4 linked regions of the Drosophila melanogaster genome follow. The protein of the gene in region 1 interacts with the protein of each later gene in a pairwise test. Each region holds a gene or a part of one and is shown in the gene's direction. Other genes may lie near its edges. The genes, in order: Dora, CG4080, Cse1 and su(r).

What was found.
Region 2: the proteins of Dora (region 1) and CG4080 interact in a two-hybrid assay, tested with the Drosophila melanogaster proteins (one large-scale study listed by BioGRID).
Region 3: the proteins of Dora (region 1) and Cse1 interact in a two-hybrid assay, tested with the Drosophila melanogaster proteins (one large-scale study listed by BioGRID).
Region 4: the proteins of Dora (region 1) and su(r) interact in a two-hybrid assay, tested with the Drosophila melanogaster proteins (one large-scale study listed by BioGRID).

What each region holds. Positions count from the first base shown.
Region 1 is NC_004354.4:18,862,256-18,866,966, forward strand, and holds the start of Dora (dorado), read left to right. Parts: upstream 1-1,694; 5' UTR 1,695-3,184; coding exon 3,185-3,464; intron 3,465-4,711. Other genes in the region: CG7326 (uncharacterized protein), read right to left, coding at 1-1,427. UniProt on the Drosophila melanogaster protein: Substrate recognition component of a SCF-like E3 ubiquitin-protein ligase complex that promotes target-directed microRNA degradation (TDMD), a process that mediates degradation of microRNAs (miRNAs).
Region 2 is NT_037436.4:9,396,226-9,401,266, reverse strand, and holds the start of CG4080 (uncharacterized protein), read left to right. Parts: upstream 1-2,039; 5' UTR 2,040-2,680; coding exon 2,681-2,760; intron 2,761-5,041. Other genes in the region: eIF4E1 (eukaryotic translation initiation factor 4E1), read left to right, coding at 171-227, 314-684, 749-848, 1,083-1,170, 1,234-1,397.
Region 3 is NT_033779.5:16,820,618-16,827,168, reverse strand, and holds Cse1 (chromosome segregation 1), read left to right. Parts: upstream 1-1,961; 5' UTR 1,962-2,102; coding exon 2,103-2,187; intron 2,188-2,669; coding exon 2,670-3,529; intron 3,530-3,600; coding exon 3,601-4,084; intron 4,085-4,152; coding exon 4,153-4,455; intron 4,456-4,520; coding exon 4,521-4,677; intron 4,678-4,733; coding exon 4,734-5,034; intron 5,035-5,107; coding exon 5,108-5,845; 3' UTR 5,846-6,013; downstream 6,014-6,551. Other genes in the region: mdy (midway), read right to left, coding at 453-686, 747-1,019, 1,080-1,390, 1,447-1,590, 1,651-1,759, 6,239-6,291, 6,360-6,451, 6,510-6,551; CG13280 (uncharacterized protein), read left to right, coding at 6,163-6,226. UniProt on the Drosophila melanogaster protein: Export receptor for importin alpha. Mediates importin-alpha re-export from the nucleus to the cytoplasm after import substrates have been released into the nucleoplasm.
Region 4 is NC_004354.4:9,196,298-9,203,766, reverse strand, and holds su(r) (suppressor of rudimentary), read left to right. Parts: upstream 1-1,946; 5' UTR 1,947-2,147; intron 2,148-3,570; 5' UTR 3,571-3,589; coding exon 3,590-3,634; intron 3,635-3,693; coding exon 3,694-6,498; intron 6,499-6,556; coding exon 6,557-6,714; intron 6,715-6,788; coding exon 6,789-6,876; 3' UTR 6,877-6,959; downstream 6,960-7,469.

The sequences.
Region 1 (4,711 bases):
GAGGTGGCCATTTTGGCGAAAGACCGCGGCGGAGTGGGGCTGCGTTTCTGCAGGGTACGCATGCCGAGCGAGTAAGCCGCCGTGTCCCCCGAAGCGGTGTCCGTATCCGAGTACTCGTCATCGCTCTCGCTGGCATGTCCTGCATCCGTCTCGTACGGATCCACCTCCTTCTGATACACGTTGCTCATTTGATCCGTAAACACATCCGAAGCGACGACCCCGCCGTCGTGTTGATCCTCGTTCTCATAAAAGAAGTACGACAACTGCAGGTGCTCCTCCGCACAGTTCGTGCTCAAGGCGTCCGGAATCAAGTGGCCATTCGTCTCGAGGCGCTTCTGAATCTTTAGGAACATGTTCGGTGATACATCCATTTGGGGCAGCGTCTGCTGCGCCTGCCACTTCTCCAGCAGCGGCGGATTGGCTCCAAAAACGCCGTAGTACAGCTTGCAGGCGCGAAAGCAGCGTAGTCGGTTCGAATTTGGGCGAATGCGACGCAGCACACGCAGCTGTGACTCCACCACGTGCAAAAACATGTATTGCTGATTTCGGTTGGGCAGCGAGGTGACCAGCACCGCACGACTGGTGTTCAAACAGAGCTGAGGCAACGGTTGAGGCCACAGCGAGTGCAGCAGACGCTTGAAAAGCTGCGTTAGCGTGGAGTTTTGGAAGAAGTGGCGATCGGGGGCATTTGTCGCCGCTCCTGCGGGACGCCAACGTACTGCATCAGCCCAGATGCGAGCGGCGGCGCCATCGAACATGGTCAGCCCCAAATAACGCATGCAGCGCTGGCAGTACAAGTGATCGTCGCGATTGAGCATGCACGAACTTTCTTCGTTAAAGTTGATGACCACATAGTTGAGGCCATAGAAAAGATCCGTTTCGGCGGGCACTAAGCTAATTGGTTGGGTCTTGCCCGCTGGTCCATGATTGTGGCAAAAGAACTCAGTGGGATCCACCAAGAGGCTGGGAAACTCCCTCAACCTGCGATAGCTTCGGCCTGCCACCAATTCCGCTCGGCAATCACGACAGTTGATAGTGATGGGCTCGTTCTCCTGGCAGGAGAGGAGTAGTGGCGCCAGAGGCACGTCCACAGCGCTTCCATCCACGCTGGCCAGATCAATCTGGTTGTAGTTGAAGCGGAAACTGATGTTCCTGCCACTGACCAAGAACGTGGACAGGCAGACAATGTCCATACCATACTGCGCGTGCCGGATGAGCATCAGCTTGTCGGAGTCCTCGCTGTCGCTTTCGGAGCTGGAATCCAAGTCGATTGCCTGATTCTTAGGTTTCTCGCTGATATAAACATTGTAGTCGCGGACGACGACGCGAGTCTTCTGGCTCTGCGAAACCTGTTGGTCGAATCGCAGGAAGACCACGCCGCTGCGTAGGTTCGGGCGCAGTTCGATGCACAGCCCGGCGATGGGCATCTTGACCAGTTCCTGGGAAAGCGCGAGAAGATTGTGAACACCACCAACAAAATGGGCCTATCGTTACTTATGGTTTTTCGATATTAAGAGCGTCACTCGACAAAAACTATCGATTGTCAAGAATGAATGTCAGTGTGACCGTCATTTGAAAACTGGGAAATCGTACGCGGAAAACCGATACTATTGACCTTATCGAATATTCAGCCGAAAATGATCGAAAACCCATATCGAGTGTGTGAGCACTATCGCTGACCACTAACACCAACAACGTTTAGGAGCAAAAGAGTCGACGATGCGATGGGTAAAAACAAAGCCCCGTGTAAAAGTGTCCGAAAACCGTGCGTAGCATCAAACAAATCGTAACTCGGCCAGCGAATCTAGGTGCCGTTGTTTTCGGGGACGCGTGTGCAGTGCCGTTTTAAGTGTCGGTAATCGCCAAAATCCACAAAAAATTTAAGGATTTTTTAAAAAAACGTTCGCTAAACGCATTTCGTTCGTTCACTCACACACACACGTAAACCTAACACACGCACAGACGCAGACAAACACAACGCGCAGCGCATATACACACACAAAGAAAAGAAGGCAGTGAAAATCGACAAGCGCACGCATGCACACACACACTGACAAGCACGCAGGCGAAAAAGTGTTGATATATATCCAATATATTGATGTTGTGTGCAACGTTGTTGTTGCTGCTGCTACTGCTGTGTGAGTGAGTGAGGGCGAGCGAGAAAGAGTGAGTGCGGTGCGCGCAGGATAAAGCGAAGATGAGCCACAAAGCGAAGGAGTGAAAAAATAATTAACGGCAAAGCGGACTGCAAAGCGCAGAGCGGATAAAAGAGGAGCGTTAACAACAATAACAACGACTGGGGGTCCCCTGCAAAATCAACAACAACAGCAAGAACCACATCAACAATAATAACAGAAGCAAGAACATCAACAACAAGAACTACAACTACAAATTGGCCCTCTTATTTCGGCAGTCGCATAGCATAGCCCCATCTCGCTCTCTCGTTCGTTGGGGGATACGAAAAAGTTCACATGCAACAACAACGACAACAAACAATAGCAGTCGCAGTCGACGCGGGCAGAGGCAGCGACAGAGACCGCGGCGCACTGAACGTATTTTGTACATATAAACAAAAATAGTTTTTAAACTCCCCAAAATCTAAATCTAAACCTAAAGTTAAGTCTAAAAGGGAAACTTAGAGCCCTAAGCATAAATCTACAGTTAATAAGTTAATTAAAAGCAAGCGAGTCCGGCAGTGTGCTTGAGTTTGAAAGGGGAGAACCGAAGGAGAGGAACACAGCGAGAGAGAAAAGAGGAAGAGAAGAACGCTCAAGAGAAATTCGCCTTTTACACGATTTTAAATTGAGCGTTTGGCAGAGATCCATTATACATATACATCCATCCAAAAAGAGAGGAGAGTAACAGTGAGAGAGACGGAGGAAGAGGAAGCTGAGGAAAACAAACAAACGGGGGAGCAGCTGAAGAAGAAGAACAAGAATCAGCTTCAGCAGTAGAAGGAGCAACTGTAAACACACACAATCTCAGCCTCACGCTGGCGAATCGCAACGGCGGCAACAACAACAGAGGAGGAGGAGGCGGCGGTAACAACAACAACAATGGAGGAGGCGGAGGAGCGGCTGCAGTCGGCGCTGGCGCCGAAGGAGCAGCAGGAGGCGGCGCAGGAGCCGGAGCGGCGGGCAGAGACGCTGCAGGAGCAGCGGCCAACGAATGGAATCCGGAGGAAATGGACCGCTTCAGCTTCGACGACTCCATCCGCTTCGAGGAAGACTCCCTCTGCAGCTGGAGCTCTGAACCGGAATCGCTGTGCAACAACTGGCGCGGCTGGAAGAAGCCCGCTGCAGGCAGCGGCGCAGGCAATGGCGGCTTGAGCGGCATGGGCGGTATGGCTGTGGCCGGCGGCTCAGGAGCACCGCCGTTCGGAGGAGCAGGAGCCTCTGGTTCCTGCACACCGGGCGGCAATGGAACGGCCATGGCCAACACATCCACCTGCGGCAGACATTATGGTGAGTAGCATCTCCTTGTTGCTAGGGCGGGATTTAGGGCAGTGTACCCGGACCATTGAGCATTACACCAGTGAAACTACAGTTGTGAAAATCACAGATACAAATCTAAACTGAAGAGAGCTTCTTAAAATCCGAAAAACATTGTACAACATTGACAGTTTTTAGAGTTCGAAAAGTGTGCGTCCTAAAGATATCAAAAAAGTATCCTCTTTTATTCAGGAATTAAGAAAGACTTTCTCATAAGAAGCTTTCATATGTCGCATACAAAAGATATTGACTTCCTTAATTGTTTTTAAAACCATAAGGCAACCAAAATAGTTTATACCTATAACTTTCCCTTTACAATGAGAAACTTACATGTACATTTTATACAGATTTATATCCGTATAGCGTTAAATAATCAATTACTTGCTACACAATTTACTTTTTAAGCTAAGTAGAGTGATATGCTTTAGTTCTATGTTTTACTAGCTTGGTCGCATTTGGCTATTTGCAATATGGCTACACTGTGCTGCCTGTAATTATACGCATGACCTTTTCGCTTTTGGTAAATTCTGTAAAATTGACTTAGGCACAACAACGAGCAGGCTGTAATTGTTGTTGCCCTCTGTCTGCAATTGTCTTCTTCGTTTCCCCGCATTTCCTCGAAGTCCTCTGCTTATCGCTGAAGTCAAAATCACGACTTTGGCTGCCAACGTTTTTTATTTTCATTCGTTTATACGAGTTTCCTTTTTACCTTTTTGTTGCGTCCCTTTGTCTTTCCCTGTGGCTCATTACGCTTGTGCATGTGGCTGGGGTATTGTTTTTTTTTTTTGTTTCGGGCCTGCCAAGAGACGTTCCTTACACGTTTTCTGTATCCTGTGCGCCGCCGCACAGCACTATCATCATGTAATATCTGGATATCTGGCTGCGACTGCGCAGTTCGTCCTCGTCGCTGTTTCTCTTTCGTATCCTCCATTCGTCTTCGTCATTTGCCCATCCACTGCATTCGTTTGCTTATTTTCCTTTGTTTGACTGAGCAGTGTTGCTGTGGGGGGAAACAGGACTATATTTGGAAGGGTCAAAGGACTAAACAGAGCGGCAAAGCCGCCAAAGAACCTCCAACCATTCAGTTGTCTTCTTTGTGGATTCTTTGATAGCCAGGGTTACCAGCTTGTTGATTTTATTGATATTTATTGATACTAAGCACTAGTATTACAAAATATAGTATATGTACTAGGCAAAACTAGCTGAACTTTGCTCAATCT
Region 2 (5,041 bases), on another chromosome or scaffold:
TCGCTCTCTCGCACACACACGCACCAACCAACTATCAACTATCACAAACACCGCGACAGAGAGAGAGCGGCAAGTGAATCACGGCGAATCGAAACCGATCCGAACCCACTCCGGAGCCGAAAAAGAACTGATCCTACCATCAAACGCATCCAATAAACACGGCCGCCAACATGCAGAGCGACTTTCACAGAATGAAGAACTTTGCCAATCCCAAGTCCATGTTCAAAGTAATACTCTCAGTGCGCCTGTCGCTAAGCCAAGCTAATCTAATCTTCTGATTCCCCTTCCCATCCATTGCCATCTTCTCCCGCAGACCAGCGCCCCCAGCACCGAGCAGGGTCGTCCGGAACCACCAACTTCGGCTGCAGCGCCCGCCGAGGCTAAGGATGTCAAGCCCAAGGAGGACCCACAGGAGACTGGTGAACCAGCAGGCAACACTGCAACCACTACTGCTCCTGCCGGCGACGATGCTGTGCGCACCGAGCATTTATACAAACACCCGCTCATGAATGTCTGGACGCTGTGGTACCTTGAAAACGATCGGTCCAAGTCCTGGGAGGACATGCAAAACGAGATCACCAGCTTCGATACCGTCGAGGACTTCTGGAGCCTATACAACCACATCAAGCCCCCATCAGAGATCAAGCTGGGTAGTGACTACTCGCTATTCAAGAAGAACATTCGGTGGGTTTGCTGTTTATTGCAATTCTGCCAAGATAACCTTTACTAACTGATATCTCATTTGCAGTCCCATGTGGGAGGATGCAGCCAACAAACAGGGCGGTCGTTGGGTCATTACCCTTAACAAAAGCTCCAAGACCGATCTGGATAACCTATGGCTCGATGTGGTAAGTGCACAAAGAAACGAGTGGTGAGCGGATGGTCTATTTATAGTGAATGTACATTCTTGAAATGCAAAAATATAGAAATAGGTGTATGATTTTGCAATATAAATTATAACTTATAGAAAATATCAGCTAAAAATACGCTAGTGCTAGCTTTTGTCTTAGGAACATTCAATAGTGAGCTTATATCATAAATATTTTTCGCATATGAGTAACTACAACTGTTTTGCCTTCCAGCTGCTCTGCCTGATTGGTGAGGCCTTCGATCACTCTGATCAGATCTGCGGCGCTGTTATAAACATTCGCGGCAAGAGCAACAAGATATGTAAGTTTTCACGCACACCCAACTTCAGCGGAATTCCTTTGTTTAACGATTAATGCTTTCCAGCCATCTGGACTGCCGACGGAAACAACGAGGAAGCTGCCCTTGAGATTGGTCACAAGCTGCGCGATGCCCTGCGTCTGGGACGCAACAACTCGCTGCAGTATCAGTTGCACAAGGACACGATGGTCAAGCAGGGCTCCAACGTGAAATCGATCTACACTTTGTAGGCGGCTAATAACTGGCCGCTCCTTATTCGGTCCGATCCCACACTGATTATTTTGTCTTTCATTTATTTATCGTTATAAGCAACAGTAGCGATTAATCGTGACTATTGTCTAAGACCCGCGTAACGAAACCGAAACGGAACCCCCTTTGTTATCAAAAATCGGCATAATATAAAATCTATCCGCTTTTTGTAGTCACTGTCAATAATGGATTAGACGGAAAAGTATATTAATAAAAACCTACATTAAAACCGGATACTTTTGATCTTTGATTTTGGAGATATTTTAAAATAGAAAAAAGTTAACCTATATTGTTTTTGGGATAATTACTTGTTGTATTACTAAAACGAGCTTGTATCCTAATATGGGCACCTAAAGCAAAACTTCCAAATTTGGAATTCAATTTGTTGCTAAAAATACGTTAGCAATTTCTAGGGTGGCCAAAAAAAAATGTGTATCGATATATCGATAGGTTTCCTAAATAGACATTAAAATAATTTTAGCTTTTTACTTATATTGTTAGAGTAAATACGTTTGTATTTAAAAAATAAGTCAGTATTTTTTTTTTATTAACCTATTATTGAATTTTATATGAGTGAGAGCTTTTCCATTCAGCCAAGAACGGTCACACTGCATGTGACATGTTTCAATTGTGTAGGCGCAGTCACACTGGTCGCGTCGCTCGTAGATATCGTGTAAGGATATGTCTCCGTGTTTAGCTAAATAAAATACATAAAATATATGTGCAATTCTAACAAGCATAGCCATTTAGCGTAGAGTAGTGGAACGAACAGCTCGTACCGGGCCAGTAACAACAAATTAACAAGCAAACGCACTAAAGTTTGTCGCGGAATAAAGATATAATAATAGACCAGCTAACCAACACAAACAAACACACACACGGCCAGAAGTTCGTTGGCGTTGAAAGGGAAAAATGAAACGAAATGAAAGGAGAATAACAGTGCAATAGATTCGGTTTACATTGTGCAAAAAATCGAAGTAGCCCCTGCCAACAGGGTCGCTAAAAATAAAGAAGGCGACAGCCTCTGTTTATCGTTGGGAATAAACAAATATATGGCCAGCGGAGGAGAATCATAACAAAGGCGCAAGACTAGCCAGCATAAAAGACAAAGGAGCTCTCCTCCCCCGCGTCCGCCACCCCCCTCCCTTTTTGGGGTTGAAAACCCCCCACGCGTTGCGGTGCAGCATCGCCCCGACTATGCGATACCCTGCAATCGAGTTTATAGTGCTATAGAGAGAGAGAGAGAGAGCGAGTTACGAACAAAATGCCTTGCGACAACGCCAAAACCTCTTCGGATATCGAGCATGTGGATTGGAATTCCGGCCAGCACTATGCGAATGTCAGGTGAGTTTTGAATGCCCTTGATATGGCCAAAAAAAAAGGAATCCTATAAGTTATTCAAGTACACCAAAGAACAAAAAAAAAAGTAAAATAAAGAAAAACGAGAAATAAAATAAAATCAAGTGCAAGCACGCAATTGAAAAATCGTGGGATGGTTGACATTCTTCTTGGCATTGTCCATTGTTTATTTATAGCCAGGAAACGGACATGATTTAAATGTTTGATTGTTCGTCGTTTGGGAAATCACAATAATTAAGTTCTCAACGCAGGCTGCAAGTGCTAAAAATCAATGTGTGTTCTTTGCGCCACAATAAACAAATCCAGCTGTCCATACCGACACGCAGATAAGATATACCTTAATCGAAATGAAAACGAAAATAACCCAATTTCAAGCAGCGATTGATTCATTCCCTTAATTTGTTGCTCTGCACCAACATCAACTGTTGAGATCTCAATCGTCGTAATCCCCATCTAACGCCTGCTAATGACAATCATTAGGCAATAGTTAACAACATTGACTTGTACTTACTTACTTACCATACTAGTTCCATGCCGATCGGCAACTTCGATTGAAATGCAAATATGGACACTACGATGCTGGGAAGGTGACAAGATCTTGACGCGAGGCGCCAGCTGTTATCTGTTTATACAATTATAGGTTTATAAATTACGCGCGATTTATTTATATTGCAATCTGACGTGACAGCGGGGCATTGACCATACCCAATACTCTTACGACTTTTAATGAAGCCAATGAGGTCTAAAATGAAGATAAATCATAAATATAATTATATATCAGTCATTGAAGACGTTCTCCATAACTAAAGCAGTTTAATGGTACTGGCTTTTCGATTCACTTAATTCGTATTGTTTGGTATTAGTATTTGTGGCTACCAACTTTTATTTGCCTCATAGATGTTGTATCTTTATCTTTAGTTATTCATCAAATTTTCAATGGAACGCTCTTAAATAAACATATTTACTCAATTGTATTTGAATGTTGAGAAATGCGGCTCTTGCGTAGCTATAATTTATATATGTATGCTCGTATTTTGTGAAATACAGACCGTTCAACACCCCCGATGTCAGTGTGATGAGCCTTATCACCTGGCCATCGCAAATCTAATCTGTCGCCGGAGTGAGTAAATGTGTCTCACTTTGCTGTTATTTCAGGTGTCGTTGTTGAATAAACATTGGCTATTGTATCGGCTTGGGCCATCACGATCAAATATTTGTCGACTATCGTGAAAATGTAAAATGGAGCGTAGCGAAAAACAAACCATTGATAAGAAGCGAATTTTCTCAAGCTTGCATTTCGCATGGGTTTTCCCAAAACAATAGCAATGTGTATACACACACAAACATTCATACATTGCATATGTATGCAAATGTATATTTTTGGTGGCGCCAGTTGGGGGGGTATAACTTTTGCATTAATTGCCTCGAACTTAAACCAGTTGGGTTTTGGACTTTAAAATAAGTTTTACACGCAGAGAGCGCTAAAAAAAAAAAAAAAATAATGCGCAAATTATCAAAAAGCATTCGAACAAAGCAAACGAACAGGCAGCGAAAACAAAGCGCAAAACAGTTGAATTGGACCCCGCCTGACTCCGATTTCCCCCTTCCCCCCTCCACCACCCATCCATCCCTTGGAATCATCCGGTTCCTTGCGCCATGCGAAGATTACTTGTTTCATCTGGTCCGGCGGAGCTGGTGAGGGCGTGGCCCGTTCCGTTGTGTTCGGGCGTGGAATTTAATAAAATGCGCTAATTTAGTCGTAATTACAAGTGGGCACGGGTGGTAATGAAGCGCTCAAAAGACCCAAATCTTACGCAAATAACACGAAATGCCCCCGTAATGTGAATTTACCAAACGACCCTCGCATAATTAGGCGATTTAAGGGTAATATGCTATATAAACTTAGTTATCAGATCCAGAGAAATCAACAATTATATTCTTACTCATTTTCAGTAAGTGTTGAGCCAAAGTATAATTTTGTAATATTAATCTTGGCTTTCAGTTTGAAAACAGTTCCGCTTTCATAGTACATACATTCATATTCGACTCTCTGTTGATAAACAAATTTTCCCCTCTTTTATCAGCTAATTATAAACAACATTCATAACGATAGTTGAGCCGTTTATTTCTCAAGAAAAAAAAACGGCGATAAGAAACGAATATAAGTTCAAATTAGATTAACGAACGTAAATATTTGGTTACCGAAAAGTACACGATTCCGGGGAATTCGCAAATTTCCATCGGAAGCACTTTCGCAGTGGCAGCA
Region 3 (6,551 bases), on another chromosome or scaffold:
TAAGCTCACATATGATCGACAAATGTTACTTGAAATATAGGAAAAAAAATTGTCTGTTTTGGCTTGGGCAGCGATGAAGTGTGACCATATGCCGCATAAACAATCGATAGATCGTGTATTCTAGGGAAGGAACTATCGAACAAAGAGCTTAATAATTACATTTTTTTCGTTTCATATAATTTAAAAATTAAAAACATTTTATTTAGTTTAAAATTTGATTTATTTACATGACACTTAAATTCATTAACAAATGCATTCAATAACAATCTATTTGTGTTAATCAGTACTACATGCATGTGCAAAAGTCATACAAAATATGCTTTGTAAATTGGCAATCACAAGTTTCCTTCTTAACTTGCATTCTGGCTTATAAATTACGAAAAGTACACGGACCCGACCGATGCAGATATTTCAGTGTTGCTCCATTTTTAAATGTTAACCTTTTTTGAAACCTAACTACTGTAGTCGGTGCCGTTGAGCGAGTTTTTGAAATGCTGGACGACATAATCGTGATAATAGGCCATTATGCACAGAGGCTGACCAAGAATAATGGAAGCCCACACGATTATATTGCCCATTCGGGGACCCAGTTTCTTTTCAATGGATTTGGATATGGCCGATAGGGGAATCTGACCCATCATGCCCATAAATGCCCAGATCTTGTATATTTGCAAAGGAACTGAAACCTGAAAATATAAATTATATTATTGTACAAAATTTGAAATTCTAAATATCAACCCTCATACCAAATATTCATGGAAGACGGCACTGAAAAGAAAGACAATAGTAGAGGCCTGTCTTGAGGAATATCCCATTTGGACCACAGGGATGTAGAGATGACGCACGCACCACCTATGAACTGGCATGTTCCATGTACGCCAGAAGGTGTCAATGTTATTCGCATTCCACCAATCACAATAAAAATTGCGATCTGCAAAATTCAGCAGTTCGCCGACCGCATTAAGAAAAGAGTGGAACATTAGATAGAAAAAGCAGAGCCAGCAAAGATGATTGGGTAGCTAATTAAAGAAAAATTATTAAATAATACTCAAACGTTTTATAATTTTCACTCTACCAACCGCAAGTTTAAGAAGTCGCTCAGTGGCTAAGGCCACGTCCATATTGGAGAACGGAATCAGGGAGTTCCGAACCGATGGAATGATCCATTGTTGAAACAAGGCCATAACCACATTCACTCCAATCACCACCTCCAATAAACGCTTCAGCAAAAAGCGTTTGCGCACGCGAGAAGTTCGCGGGAAATTCAACTCATAGCAGAGAGTGGGCGCGCAAAGGAAGTACAGGAGATCCTTGTATGTGAGATTATCAGGATATTGCACCAGCTTGGAAACGTCCTCGTCTTCTTCACCTCCATTCAAAACTCCTTTTTCTGGATGAAAGATGAATTTTTAATATATGACATTCCGTTGAGAGATCTCAACATACTTAGTTCCGCCAAAGTTATGCTTGGTCGACGCTCCCGCGGATTCTTTTGATAATAAGTCTGACGGCACCACATATTCGTCTGCACATAGGACCATAGTTTTAGGAACAACACAGAGTAAAAGAAGCAAACTGTTGAAGCGCCCACTAAAGATTAACAGATAATTAAATATTTTAAAATACACCTAAACTAAGTTAATTTCTCACTCAAACTAAAAGCATGTCCTTTTAGGTGAATTGTTACCACCGGTAGGCAAACCAAGACAACAATGTTCACTATCTGGATGAACAAGCCCAAGCCCTCTGCAATTATTTCCTGGAAAAGAATTACAAATTTGTTTTAATTTTTAATTCATTCAGTTGGTTTTTGAAAAAAAAAAACAGGAATTGATATCATATCAAATGATACTAAATTAGTAAAGTTCAATATGCGATATTTCTGATATGAACATTTAAAATCTAAAACCATCGAATCCTAGTAACAGTAACTATAAACAATCGATATCGAAAACTCGCCCTGAGTTCCATCCCCAGATCGGCGAGCATTGTGTGCGAAAACGAATTGCGATTTCATTTCATGTTGCAAGAGTGTGGAGGAACAAGCCACGAGTGATATAAATTAAAGCAAATAGGACCATCGAAAAGAAAATATACTCAAAATGGAAGTGACAGAGGCAAATTTACAGCTGCTGGCCGGTTATTTGCAGCAGACGCTGAGCGCCGATCCCAATGTCCGCCGGCCGGGTGAGTGTGTGTGTGTAGGAATGCATGTGCACACACACAACTGCACATGCGTGCAGGGGTGCTGATGTGTATGTGCGCGGGAAATGGTTTTTGGCGACGCCAAAGAAAAATACGGTTTTTAAATCCATTTGAAGTTGTCTACAAGTTTTCCCTATGTCAAAGAATTTATACAGTCACGCTTTCTATTAATTGAATCGAGATTAGCTGATCTTGATATGACTGTTGCCAAGCCACCTTTCAAAACCATAGACCTAGTTTTAGGATTATTTAAGGCATACCAAGCCTATAGACTCCGCACCACCATAACCAAGCTTTTGAAAATATTGTATAAAAAACTTATTGCTTGAATTGAAAATATGTTTAGTCTAACGAGAAACACTGTAAGCTCCTATCGGTTCCTTATATATTTGTATTTGCAACATCCGATTTACATAAGTACAATAGTTCTAACAAACACACCATTTCCTTCTCTACTTTTATAGCCGAAAAACTTTTGGAGTCCACGGAACTACAGCAGAATTACCCGATCCTACTGCTCAATCTGATAGACAAAGCCCAAATGGACATGACTACGCGGGTGGCGGGAGCCATTGCCTTTAAGAACTATATTAAGCGGAATTGGGCAGCCCACCTTGACAGCGACGGACCGGATCGCATCCACGAAAGTGACAGGAATACAATTAAGACCTTGATCGTTACGCTAATGCTCCACTCACCGGTGGCATTGCAAAAACAACTAAGCGACGCGGTCAGCATCATAGGCAAATATGATTTTCCCAAAAAATGGCCGCAGCTTATCGACGAGATGGTGGAGAGATTTGCCTCTGGTGATTTCAATGTCATCAACGGCGTTTTGCAAACCGCACACTCGCTTTTCAAGCGCTATCGTTATGAGTTCAAGTCGCAGGCTTTGTGGGAGGAGATCAAATTTGTACTGGATCGTATGGCTAAACCTCTGACAGACCTGCTCCAGGCCACAATGCAGTTGACTAAGGTGCACGAGAACAATGCCGGCGCCCTGAAGGTCATCTACGGTTCATTGGTCCTTGTGAACAAGGTGTTTTTCTCGCTCAACTCCCAAGATTTGCCGGAGTTCTTTGAGGACAATATCAATACGTGGATGGGAGCGTTTATTCAGCAACTAGCTGCGGATGTGCCATCCCTGCGTACTGCAGATGATGAGGATGCGGGTGTTCTAGAGCATCTGCGTGCTCAAGTCTGCGAGAACATTTGCCTTTATGCAAAAAAGTACGACGAGGAGTTCAAGCCATTTATGGAGCAATTTGTGACTGCAGTTTGGGAGTTACTGGTCAAGACAAGTTTGCACACCAAGTACGATTCGGTAAGTAACAGAAACCATACGCTTTCTTAATAATTATTTTTATAATTTTTCCATTCTTATTTTGCGCACAGTTGGTCTCCCATGCTCTGCAGTTCCTCTCTGTGGTGGCTGACCGCCAGCATTATCAGAGCATTTTCGAGAACCCAGAGATTCTTGCTCAGATCTGCGATAAAGTTGTCATTCCCAATCTAGACATCCGGCCCTCAGATGAAGAAATTTTCGAGGACAGTCCGGAGGAGTACATTCGAAGGGATATTGAAGGCTCTGACATTGACACACGACGTCGGGCGGCATGTGATCTGGTGAAGACTCTATCAATCAACTTTGAACAAAAGATCTTTGGCATTTTTGGCCAGTATCTAGAGAGATTGTTGACCAAGTACAAGGAGAATCCGGCTACCAATTGGAGGTCAAAGGATACGGCAATTTATTTGGTTACTTCGTGGGCATCTCGAGGAGGAACTCAAAAGCATGGCATCACACAGACCTCGGAGTTGGTTCCACTTCCCGAATTTTGTGCCCAGCAAATTATTCCAGAACTGGAAAGACCCAACAGTAAGCCCAAATAACCATTTTCCCAATTCGATCATCTTATATCTGCATTCTTCCAATGCTCTTTGCAGTTAACGAGTTTCCTGTTCTTAAGGCTGCTGCAATTAAGTATGTAATGGTGTTCCGCAGCATTTTGGGTCCCCAAGTCTTAGCAAGCTGCCTGCCCCAGCTAATTCGACATCTCCCCGCCGAAAGCTCTGTTGTTCATAGCTATGCTGCTTGTTCAGTGGAGAAGATCCTTTCTATGCGGGATGCTAGCAACGCGATCGTTTTTGGTCCTCAGATTTTAGCACCTTACACAACTGAACTAATTAGTGGGTTATTTGCGACCCTTTCACTCCCAGGTTCCGGTGAAAATGAGTACGTAATGAAAGGTGAGTTTGGGGGACTATCTCATACGTTTCTAATATGTTAACAAAACTCTAATTATTATTATTAGCCATTATGCGAAGTTTTTCGGTCTTGCAATCGGCCGCCATGCCCTTTATGGGCGTCGCCCTTCCACGGCTTACCGAGATTCTCACCCAAGTGGCCAAGAATCCATCGCGTCCGCAGTTCAACCACTATCTTTTTGAAACGCTGGCTCTGTGTATAAAGTAAGTGTTATGCATTTTGGTGGTAAAGAGCAATAACAAATTTTCTTTTTCCCTAGAATTGTTTGTCACGCCGATTCCTCGGCTGTGAGCTCCTTTGAGGAGGCATTGTTCCCAGTTTTCCAGGGCATCTTACAGCAGGACATTGTCGAATTTATGCCCTACGTCTTCCAGATGCTTTCTGTGCTGTTGGAAATGCGCGAGGGCACTGGTACCATACCGGAACCCTATTGGGCTTTGTTCCCCTGCTTGTTGTCACCAGCTCTGTGGGACAGGACGGGCAATGTCACACCATTAATTCGCCTGATTTCTGCTTTCATCAAGCAGGGATCTGCTCAGATTCAAGCCTTGGGTAAACTGGTAAGTTATATTATACATCACAAATTTTATTTTACAGAGTCCAATCTTATGCATTTTTCAACATATATTTCAGAGCGGTATCCTCGGAATATTCCAAAAGATGATTGCCTCCAAGGCTAATGACCATGAAGGGTTTTATCTTCTCCAGAATCTGCTTTCCTACTACCCTCCCGCTGAGATTCAAACTAATCTTCGTCAGATCTTTGGCCTGCTCTTCCAGCGATTGTCTCTCTCAAAGACTCCGAAGTATTTAAGCGGCATCATTATCTTCTTTAGCTTTTATGTGATTAAGTTCAGTGGCAGTCAGATGGCTCAATTGATAGATGAGATTCAGCCTAACCTATTTGGCATGCTGCTGGACCGCGTGTTTATCACCGAAATGGGCAAGATTCCCAAGGAACAGGATCGCAAAATGGTGGCCGTGGGTGTCACTAAGCTACTTACAGAAACTCCTGAGATATTGCAGCAACAGTACGCTACTTTCTGGCCACGACTGCTGCATTCTCTAATCGATCTTTTTGAACGACCACCAGAGAAATTGATGGGTCTCGAAATAGGAGAGACAGCTGGAGTTGCCGAAGATCCCGATGCGGGCTATCAAGTGGCATTTGCCCAACTGACTCATGCCCAGCCCAACCAGCAGGATCACCTGGCTGAGATTAAGGATGCTCGCCAGTTTCTAGCAACTTCGCTCTCTAAGTTTGCCCAGGCTAGGGCAGGAGAATTTTCCACTTTGTTGTCGCCCCTGGAGCCGGAGTACAAGCAAGTACTCCAGAAATATTGTGATCAGGCTGGAGTACGCATTGCCTAAAGGAATCGACCGACTTTAAGCTCATTCATCGCAATCAAACCTCGCCATACATTCGAAAATTTATGCATACACGCACTCGATCACTCATTGCATGCCCAGTTTATTGTCATTTAAAAATTGTATCTAATATATGTAAGTTTTGTAAACAATTAAAAATTATGTTTTCCGAAACTAGTGTGTTTCAACTGCGATAACTTCTGAATATTTCATACTTTTCTCTCTGATAAACAAATCATTTCTTGTCAAACACCCTTCACTCAATTTCAAAATTGTGAATTTAGAATTAACTAGATATTTCGAAATTTATCATATAAGCCATGTTCAAGCTAATAACGTATTTCAAGTCACGATCGAAGAAAATAGGCGTGAGATGCTATCAAAGTAAGTACTTACCATGGCTAGACCCTTCTCCACAGCCAAACAGAGCGAGATATGCACTAAAGAGTCTGTAAAATATGGTGAGACGAAGGTTATCAATTTCGTTTGCGTAATCCTTGATTTTGTGCGTGCTTACAAATGCTCAGGATTAGGGCGTTATGTCCTTCGCCTTCGTTGTGTCCGCTTATGAAGAAGAACCAATCCAGTGGATTGATGCGAATGCCATACCTAAAAAAATAATGAATTAGCTAAAACTTGTATTTCTACTCAAGATCATCGTAGTTACTTTAGGAGATTCTCCAAGCCCAAACGCAGACCTCCAATGCAG
Region 4 (7,469 bases), 9.7 Mb from region 1:
TCCATATTTCATATTTGGAAAAGGAATTGTAAATGCCTAAAGTAGTGATCAGTTTTGTGAAGAGCTACTGGGTATCCGGCCAATCGACCCCTGTTTTAGTGAACAATATATTGTAGTTGCGATGGGCGCCATCATCACTCTCCGATCTTCGGCCCTCTGAAGGAATTATACCAAAGTCTGGGATGCCACCCAAATGAGGAATGAGCGATGTGAAAATGGAACTCAGATGCTGTCCGCTCAAATTCTAATTCCTGCAAAAAGTGGCGAAAGTGAATAATGGAATCCGGCAGTCAACACGTTTCGCCCAGACGAAAAACGCATTTGAATTTCGGCATGCATTTTGTAAGTAATTTATTAACCCGCCTGCATTGTGTATTAATTAAGCGTTCTGATTTACTACGCACGGAGTGAGGTTAATCTCTGGCCCCCTGTAGTCCCGAGTTATTTATTTCACTTTAATGGGCAGCCAATGGAGGCTGGCAGGCGTTAGTGGCGCCTTTCCGGGGATTTCGACTAGAAAAGGCTACTGCAAACAACTCATTCATCTGGCCATTCAGCTAGAGATTATCCCAAGTTGATGGCCAATGTCACGGGCCAGTGCCAACTTGGAACTTGGCACTCAGAATGTCTGCGTTTTTATGGCCAATATGATTACAATTTAATGGCAGATAAATCAAGAAAAGCAAATGCTCATGGCCAAAAATAAATGCTAGGAGCACCGGAAACGTATTATATATTTTATAATAAGTTAGCAATCTAAAATGTCTGCAACATTTTAGAAAATAAGCTATTTGTATTCTTTATGTTAAACACAACACTTTAGAATGAGCATTTCAATTAAACGATTGCATACTTCTAGGCCAAGTTTATGTAAAAGCCGCGTTGATAAATAAATCCAAAAGGTAAACTGCCAAAATGCGAACTTCAATTTGATTTGATTTCAAAAATTATCCAAATGAAGCTTATAAATGTTTAGCTTTTAACAAATATGCTGGTATATTTATCAAAAATTTTATGAAAGAATAACGATATATATATAATACAAATCCTCTAAAATAGCATTCTTTTGGGCTGTGATTATATGAATGAACTGATGTAATGTGCTACAGCAAAATCTCCAAAGTGAAACTACCTGATATTCAACTAATTAATATTTATTTGCAAACTTCTATCATTCTGCAAAATGTAACATCTAATCATTCAGTAAATAATCTTTATCTGAACTAAGAAAACTGAAGAAATAATATTCATATTATTATATTTTTAGTACCATTGCAATTATTAAAGCATCTATTTGAAATTCTGTAGAAGTTCGCTCAACTGAATACTTACTGTAGTAAATTGTAAGGTTGATTCAATCGAAACTGAGAGCGAAGAGTGTACAAACAAAACTAAGGCGATCGAATAGCACACCCTGAAATACTTTATCTACACTAAGAAAAGTTCGAAAAGATACCATCTTAGAGATAAAATTGGGATAGTGATAAAATCAAATGGAAAATATAAAAAAATTTGATAAAAAATAAACCTCTTAGATACTTTTACGAGATTGAGTTTTAAATTCATAATATATAATCTTATGTAATAAATATATAAGATCTTATCTCGTTATGATTTGCGTGTTTTTCTCAGTGTTCAACAACGTTAACAACTAGACAACAATGTTTTTGCAAAGACATACCAGACGAGAACTATATATATATATATGGATTGTTTTGAGAAAATAATAAAGATATACTATTACTTACTAGCCCAGCAACTTAACTTCATATTGTTATCTCATTGCGACTCTAAAGCTATTGTGTGTAAAATCTGATAAAGACCCCCCCCCCCCCCCCCATTTGGGAGCTAGGCTACGCCCCTGTGAAATGGGAAGACCGACGTCGGCAGCGACGCCGACTGCGACGCAAAACCGAGTTAACGACGATTTGGAAATCGGTTTCCAAGAGCATTTTCAATTGGGCGTTTCCAGTGTGAAGACCAATTCGAATTTTTCGTGTTTTTTTTTTTAGTCGCCAAACCGTCGCCAGTCGATTTTCACTCCAGCTAGTGAATAGCTATTATTATTATTTTTTTTCGCTGTGCTAATCTAAAGATTCTAATAAAAAAAAGTGTTCATAAATTAGCTAATAACGTTCCTTCGATCGGTATGTATTGCGGCCACCAATCTTGGCTAAATGAGCAAAAAGAAAAAAAATTGAAAAAAACATCTAACAATCAAACGAAACGAAACCCAATTTAAGCATAAGCAGCAGCTCGAATTCTGAACTTGTTTTTCGCATTTCGCCATTAGCATATAGCATATACATATGTACCTACGTATAATGAAAACATATTCAAAAACTTGCCGGACCACGAAGCCAAACTGATAATGAACAAACAGCAGCTGGGGGCTTCAACTATTATGACAAAAACGAAAAAAACAAAATACATCTATAAAAATTCTTAATCAGCGCGCTAGAGTGTGCGCGAGAGCGAGAGGGCGCGCGGCGCCGAGGGAGATAGCGCGTGTTACAAAATATTAATTGAATTGAATTCGATTGAAGGTCTTGTAAAGCAAAGCTCCACGTTTGTGTGATTAAAATAGTTATGGCTATTCACAAAAAGCCAAGTAATTGGTAATGTGAGAATGGTTAATATGTAAAACAACTTTATTATCGTTTATAATTAGGCAATAGCTAACAGTCGGTTTACTTACCATTATTAATTCACTGTGCTAATAGATAATGAATAATGTTTACTTTGTATTAAGCACATGCTTAGAAGATACAGCTAAAGGCATACAAAACAACTTCCGCCGTCGATTTGCAACGGTGACAGTTTTTTTTTATTAAATGCGTATTACTTTACAAAGTTTCTGGCATTTGGTTCATAATATAATAATAATAATAATATTTAATAATATAATAATATTTGTGGCAATTCTCAAAGTTAAAAGGAAAAGCAACTGTAAATAGAATATGTATTTCGAAGTTAGTTTATTACTTCTTCTAAGCTGAGATACATTTAATAGATACATTTACGCCAGCTTGAGATACTTAACCTACTAGATACTTAAATGAAATCGAAAGCAGAACTTCCGAATCGAGTGCTTGCCCCATTATCGCTAAAAAAAAAAGAAGCGAAACGGGCCCCCCCGATCGTAACCTTCGCCGGTTTCTAATCTTTCCTCTTCGTGGGGTGGCACCATTTATTTTTGGGGTTCTGAAACTTTTGGTGGAAAAACAGCAGATACAGAAACGTATAGAAAACCGGGTGGTGCCAATATGCGTGCCATCATAAAGCCATCATAATCTCCGCTAGCCGTCGCAGCCTTGACTGATATGATGATAACGCCCTCATACATAAGATGATAAGACCAATGGTGTGGCATTAGTGCACTTAGATACAGCGTCTTGTCCAGGATCGATTTGGATTTCGAGTGGGGCAGCGATAAGACGACTGGGAGTCACCATTCGCGATTAGGGTATTCTGGCTGCGATGCGATAGGGATAGGGTAGTTCGCCGATCTGCACGTGGCCATCAACCGCAGTCTGTAATCCATATGTTCCACTTTCACTTCATTAACAGGTGAAACAGTGCCAGCAAGATGAGTCCGCCCCAACTTTTGAGCAAGGACTCCCCAGATATTGAGGTAGGTCCTGGATCATGATTCACTTCCCGTTGATAGTGAAAACCTTTCGTAATTCCTAGGACCTGCTGTCGCTAAATCCGCGAGTGAAGACGCAGTGCTCCGTGGTGCCCACCAAGCAGACGAAGGAGAACAAGAAGCACTGGAAACGCAATGCGGATCACGCTGCTCCGCCGTGCACCACGCTGGCCAACGACTTCTCGGACATCAAGCACACCACATTGTCGGAGCGCGGAGCTCTAGAGGAGGCGGCCAGGTGCCTCAAATGCGCCGATGCTCCGTGCCAAAAGTCCTGTCCCACGCAGCTGGACATCAAGAGCTTCATTACGAGCATTGCGAATAAGAATTTCTATGGCGCCGCCAAGGCGATCTTCTCCGACAATCCGCTGGGTCTGACCTGCGGCATGGTCTGTCCCACCAGCGATCTCTGCGTGGGCGGTTGCAATCTGCAGGCCTCCGAGGCGGGACCGATTAACATTGGTGGCCTCCAGCAGTTCGCCACCGAGGTGTTCAAGAAGATGGGCGTGCGGCAGCGGAGGACACCGCAGGCGGAGGCCAATCCGCTGTCGCAAAAGATCGCCCTCGTGGGCGGCGGACCGGCATCGCTGTCGTGCGCCACCTTCCTGGCCCGTCTGGGCTATCGGGATGTGACCATCTACGAGCGGAGAAGCTATCTGGGTGGCCTGAGTGCCGCTGAAATTCCCCAGTATCGTCTGCCCATCGATGCGGTTAACTTTGAGATCGATTTGGTTCGCGATCTGGGCGTACGCATCGAAACGGGTCGCTCGCTGGGCACCAAGGATTTGACCATCCAGGGACTCCTGTCCACCGGCCATGATGCCGTCTTTGTGGGCATTGGCCTGCCGGAACCGAAGCTGAATCCCATTTTCGCTGGCCTTCAGCCCAGCAATGGTTTCTACACCTCGAAAAACTTCCTGCCCTTGGTGTCGGATGGCTCGAAACCGGGTTTGTGCGCCTGCAAGGCAGCGGCCGGTTTACCCAAGCTCCATGGCAATGTCATCGTTTTGGGTGCCGGTGATACGGCCTTCGATTGCGCCACTTCGGCGCTGAGATGTGGTGCTAGGCGTGTGTTCGTCGTCTTCCGCAAAGGATCCTCCGGCATTCGTGCTGTGCCCGAAGAGGTGGAGCTGGCGCGTGACGAACGCTGTGAGCTGTTGCCGTACCTGAGTCCACGCAAAGTGATCGTCAAGGATGGCCTGATCACAGCCATGGAATTCTGTCGCACGGAGCAGAACGAAAACGATGAATGGGTGGAGGATGAGGAGCAGACGCAGCGCTTGAAGGCGAACTTTGTGATCTCCGCCTTTGGGTCCGGCCTGGAGGATCAGGATGTCAAGGCGGCACTAGCGCCGTTGCAATTCCGCGGCGAATTGCCCGTGGTGGACAGGGTGACGATGCAGAGCAGTGTGAAACAGGTGTTCCTCGGCGGCGATCTCGCTGGAGTGGCCAACACCACGGTGGAGTCGGTCAATGATGGCAAGGTGGCCGCCTGGAGCATTCATTGTCAACTGCAGGGCCTGCCACTGGACACGCCGGCTGCACTGCCGCTCTTCTATACGGACATCGATGCCGTGGACATATCGGTGGAGATGTGCGGCATCCGGTTCGAGAATCCCTTTGGCCTGGCCTCCGCACCGCCCACCACCAGCACGGCCATGATACGTCGCGCCTTCGAGCAGGGCTGGGGCTTTGTGGTGACCAAGACGTTCGGTCTGGACAAGGATCTGGTCACGAATGTCTCGCCGCGCATCGTCAGGGGCACCACGTCGGGCTACAAGTATGGACCGCAGCAGGGCTGTTTCCTGAACATCGAACTAATCTCGGAGAAGCGGGCCGAGTACTGGCTGAAATCGATTGGAGAACTGAAGCGTGACTTCCCCGAGAAGATCGTGATAGCCAGCATTATGTGCAGCTTCAACGAGGAAGACTGGACGGAGTTGGCCATTAAGGCGGAGCAGTCGGGTGCCGATGCCCTCGAGCTGAATCTATCGTGTCCACATGGCATGGGCGAGCGAGGTATGGGCTTGGCCTGTGGCCAGGATCCCGAGTTGGTGGAGCAGATCTCTCGCTGGGTGCGAAAGGCGGTCAAGCTGCCCTTCTTCATCAAGCTAACGCCAAACATTACGGATATCGTTTCCATTGCGGCGGCCGCAAAGCGGGGAGGAGCCGATGGCGGATCGGCCATCAACACCGTTCAGGGACTGATGGGCCTCAAGGCGGACTCCACCGCCTGGCCGGCGATTGGCAAGGAGCAGCGCACCACTTACGGCGGCGTCTCCGGCAATGCCACTCGTCCGATGGCTCTGAAGGCCATCTCTGATATTGCCAACCGTGTGCCGGGATTCCCCATTCTCGGTATCGGTGGCATCGATTCCGGTGAGGTTGCGCTGCAGTTTATTCATGCGGGCGCCACTGTTCTGCAGATCTGCTCCTCCGTACAGAACCAGGACTTCACCGTCATCGAGGACTATTGCACGGCACTGAAGGCACTGCTCTACCTGAAGGCGAATCCGCCACCAGTCGATGGTCCCTTCTGGGATGGCCAGTCACCACCCACGCCGGTCCATCAGAAGGGCAAGCCCGTTGTCCGTTTGACCGGCGAGGGCAAAGCCACGCTGGGTTTCTTTGGTCCCTACCAGCGGCAGCGCGACATCAAGATGGCCGAGCTGCGAAGTCAGAAGGGAGCTCTTTGGGATGCCGAGCAGGTGAAGGCCACTCCTCCGGCGTCCAATGGAGCACCCAATCCGGCACCAAGAATCAAGGATGTGATCGGAGCAGCGCTAGACAAGATCGGGTCATACAACAAGCTGGATAACAAACAACAGAAGGTGGCGCTCATCGATGATGTGAGTGCTGAGTTATCATTAAAGTATCCAAATTTCTAATTGCATCCGTGCTTTCCAGGACATGTGCATAAACTGCGGAAAGTGCTATATGACCTGCGCCGATTCCGGCTACCAGGCCATCGAATTCGACAAGGACACCCACATTCCGCACGTGAACGACGATTGCACGGGCTGCACACTCTGCGTCTCCGTTTGTCCCATCATCGACTGCATCACGTGGGTTCCTCAATGTCACCAGCATCATATATATACTGGTTAACTAACTATATTATGTATTTATATATTTCCAGCATGGTGCCCAAGAAGATTCCGCACGTGATCAAGCGAGGAGTCGAGGAGAAGATCTTCTACACCCACGCTCTCAGCCAGTGCCAGTAAAAGTCCCTAGTTCTACGCGAAATACCGATAGTAAATTCCAATCTATGTAATTCAATTAAATACAAAACATGTTTCAAAAGCAGAAGATGGCATTCAGTTTTATTTGCTTAAAAATACGAAAGTAGGAAAAATAACTTTAAAAAAATTACTATGTTTATTATATCACTGATGACCAATCCACTTATTTTATAATCATTTTGATTTGAAATTCGTATTTGAAATTGGCGCGCAACTCAAGCTTTTCCCAACTTTATCGATGTCTATCAGCTGATTTTGGAGACCAATTTTTTAGCAAAAAAAAACAAAAATTCTATTAATATATATTGTCTGCGAAATTAACGAACAGTTAAGCTCAAGTAGCAACAACGAAATTTACTTTAATGTTTTGAAATATATATAACATTAATTATTTACCATATTACTTTTCTCATCCCTAATATAGGCGATACTATCGAATGGGATCAGCTGTTTGTCGATATTGAAAATTTTAGTTTAGAAAAACAGAAAAACGGAACGACGTAGGAATCCAGTAGCAGCTGTGCGTCAAAAAAAACTAGTCGTCTCTACTTTCAAATAGGCAATAGATTTAATCT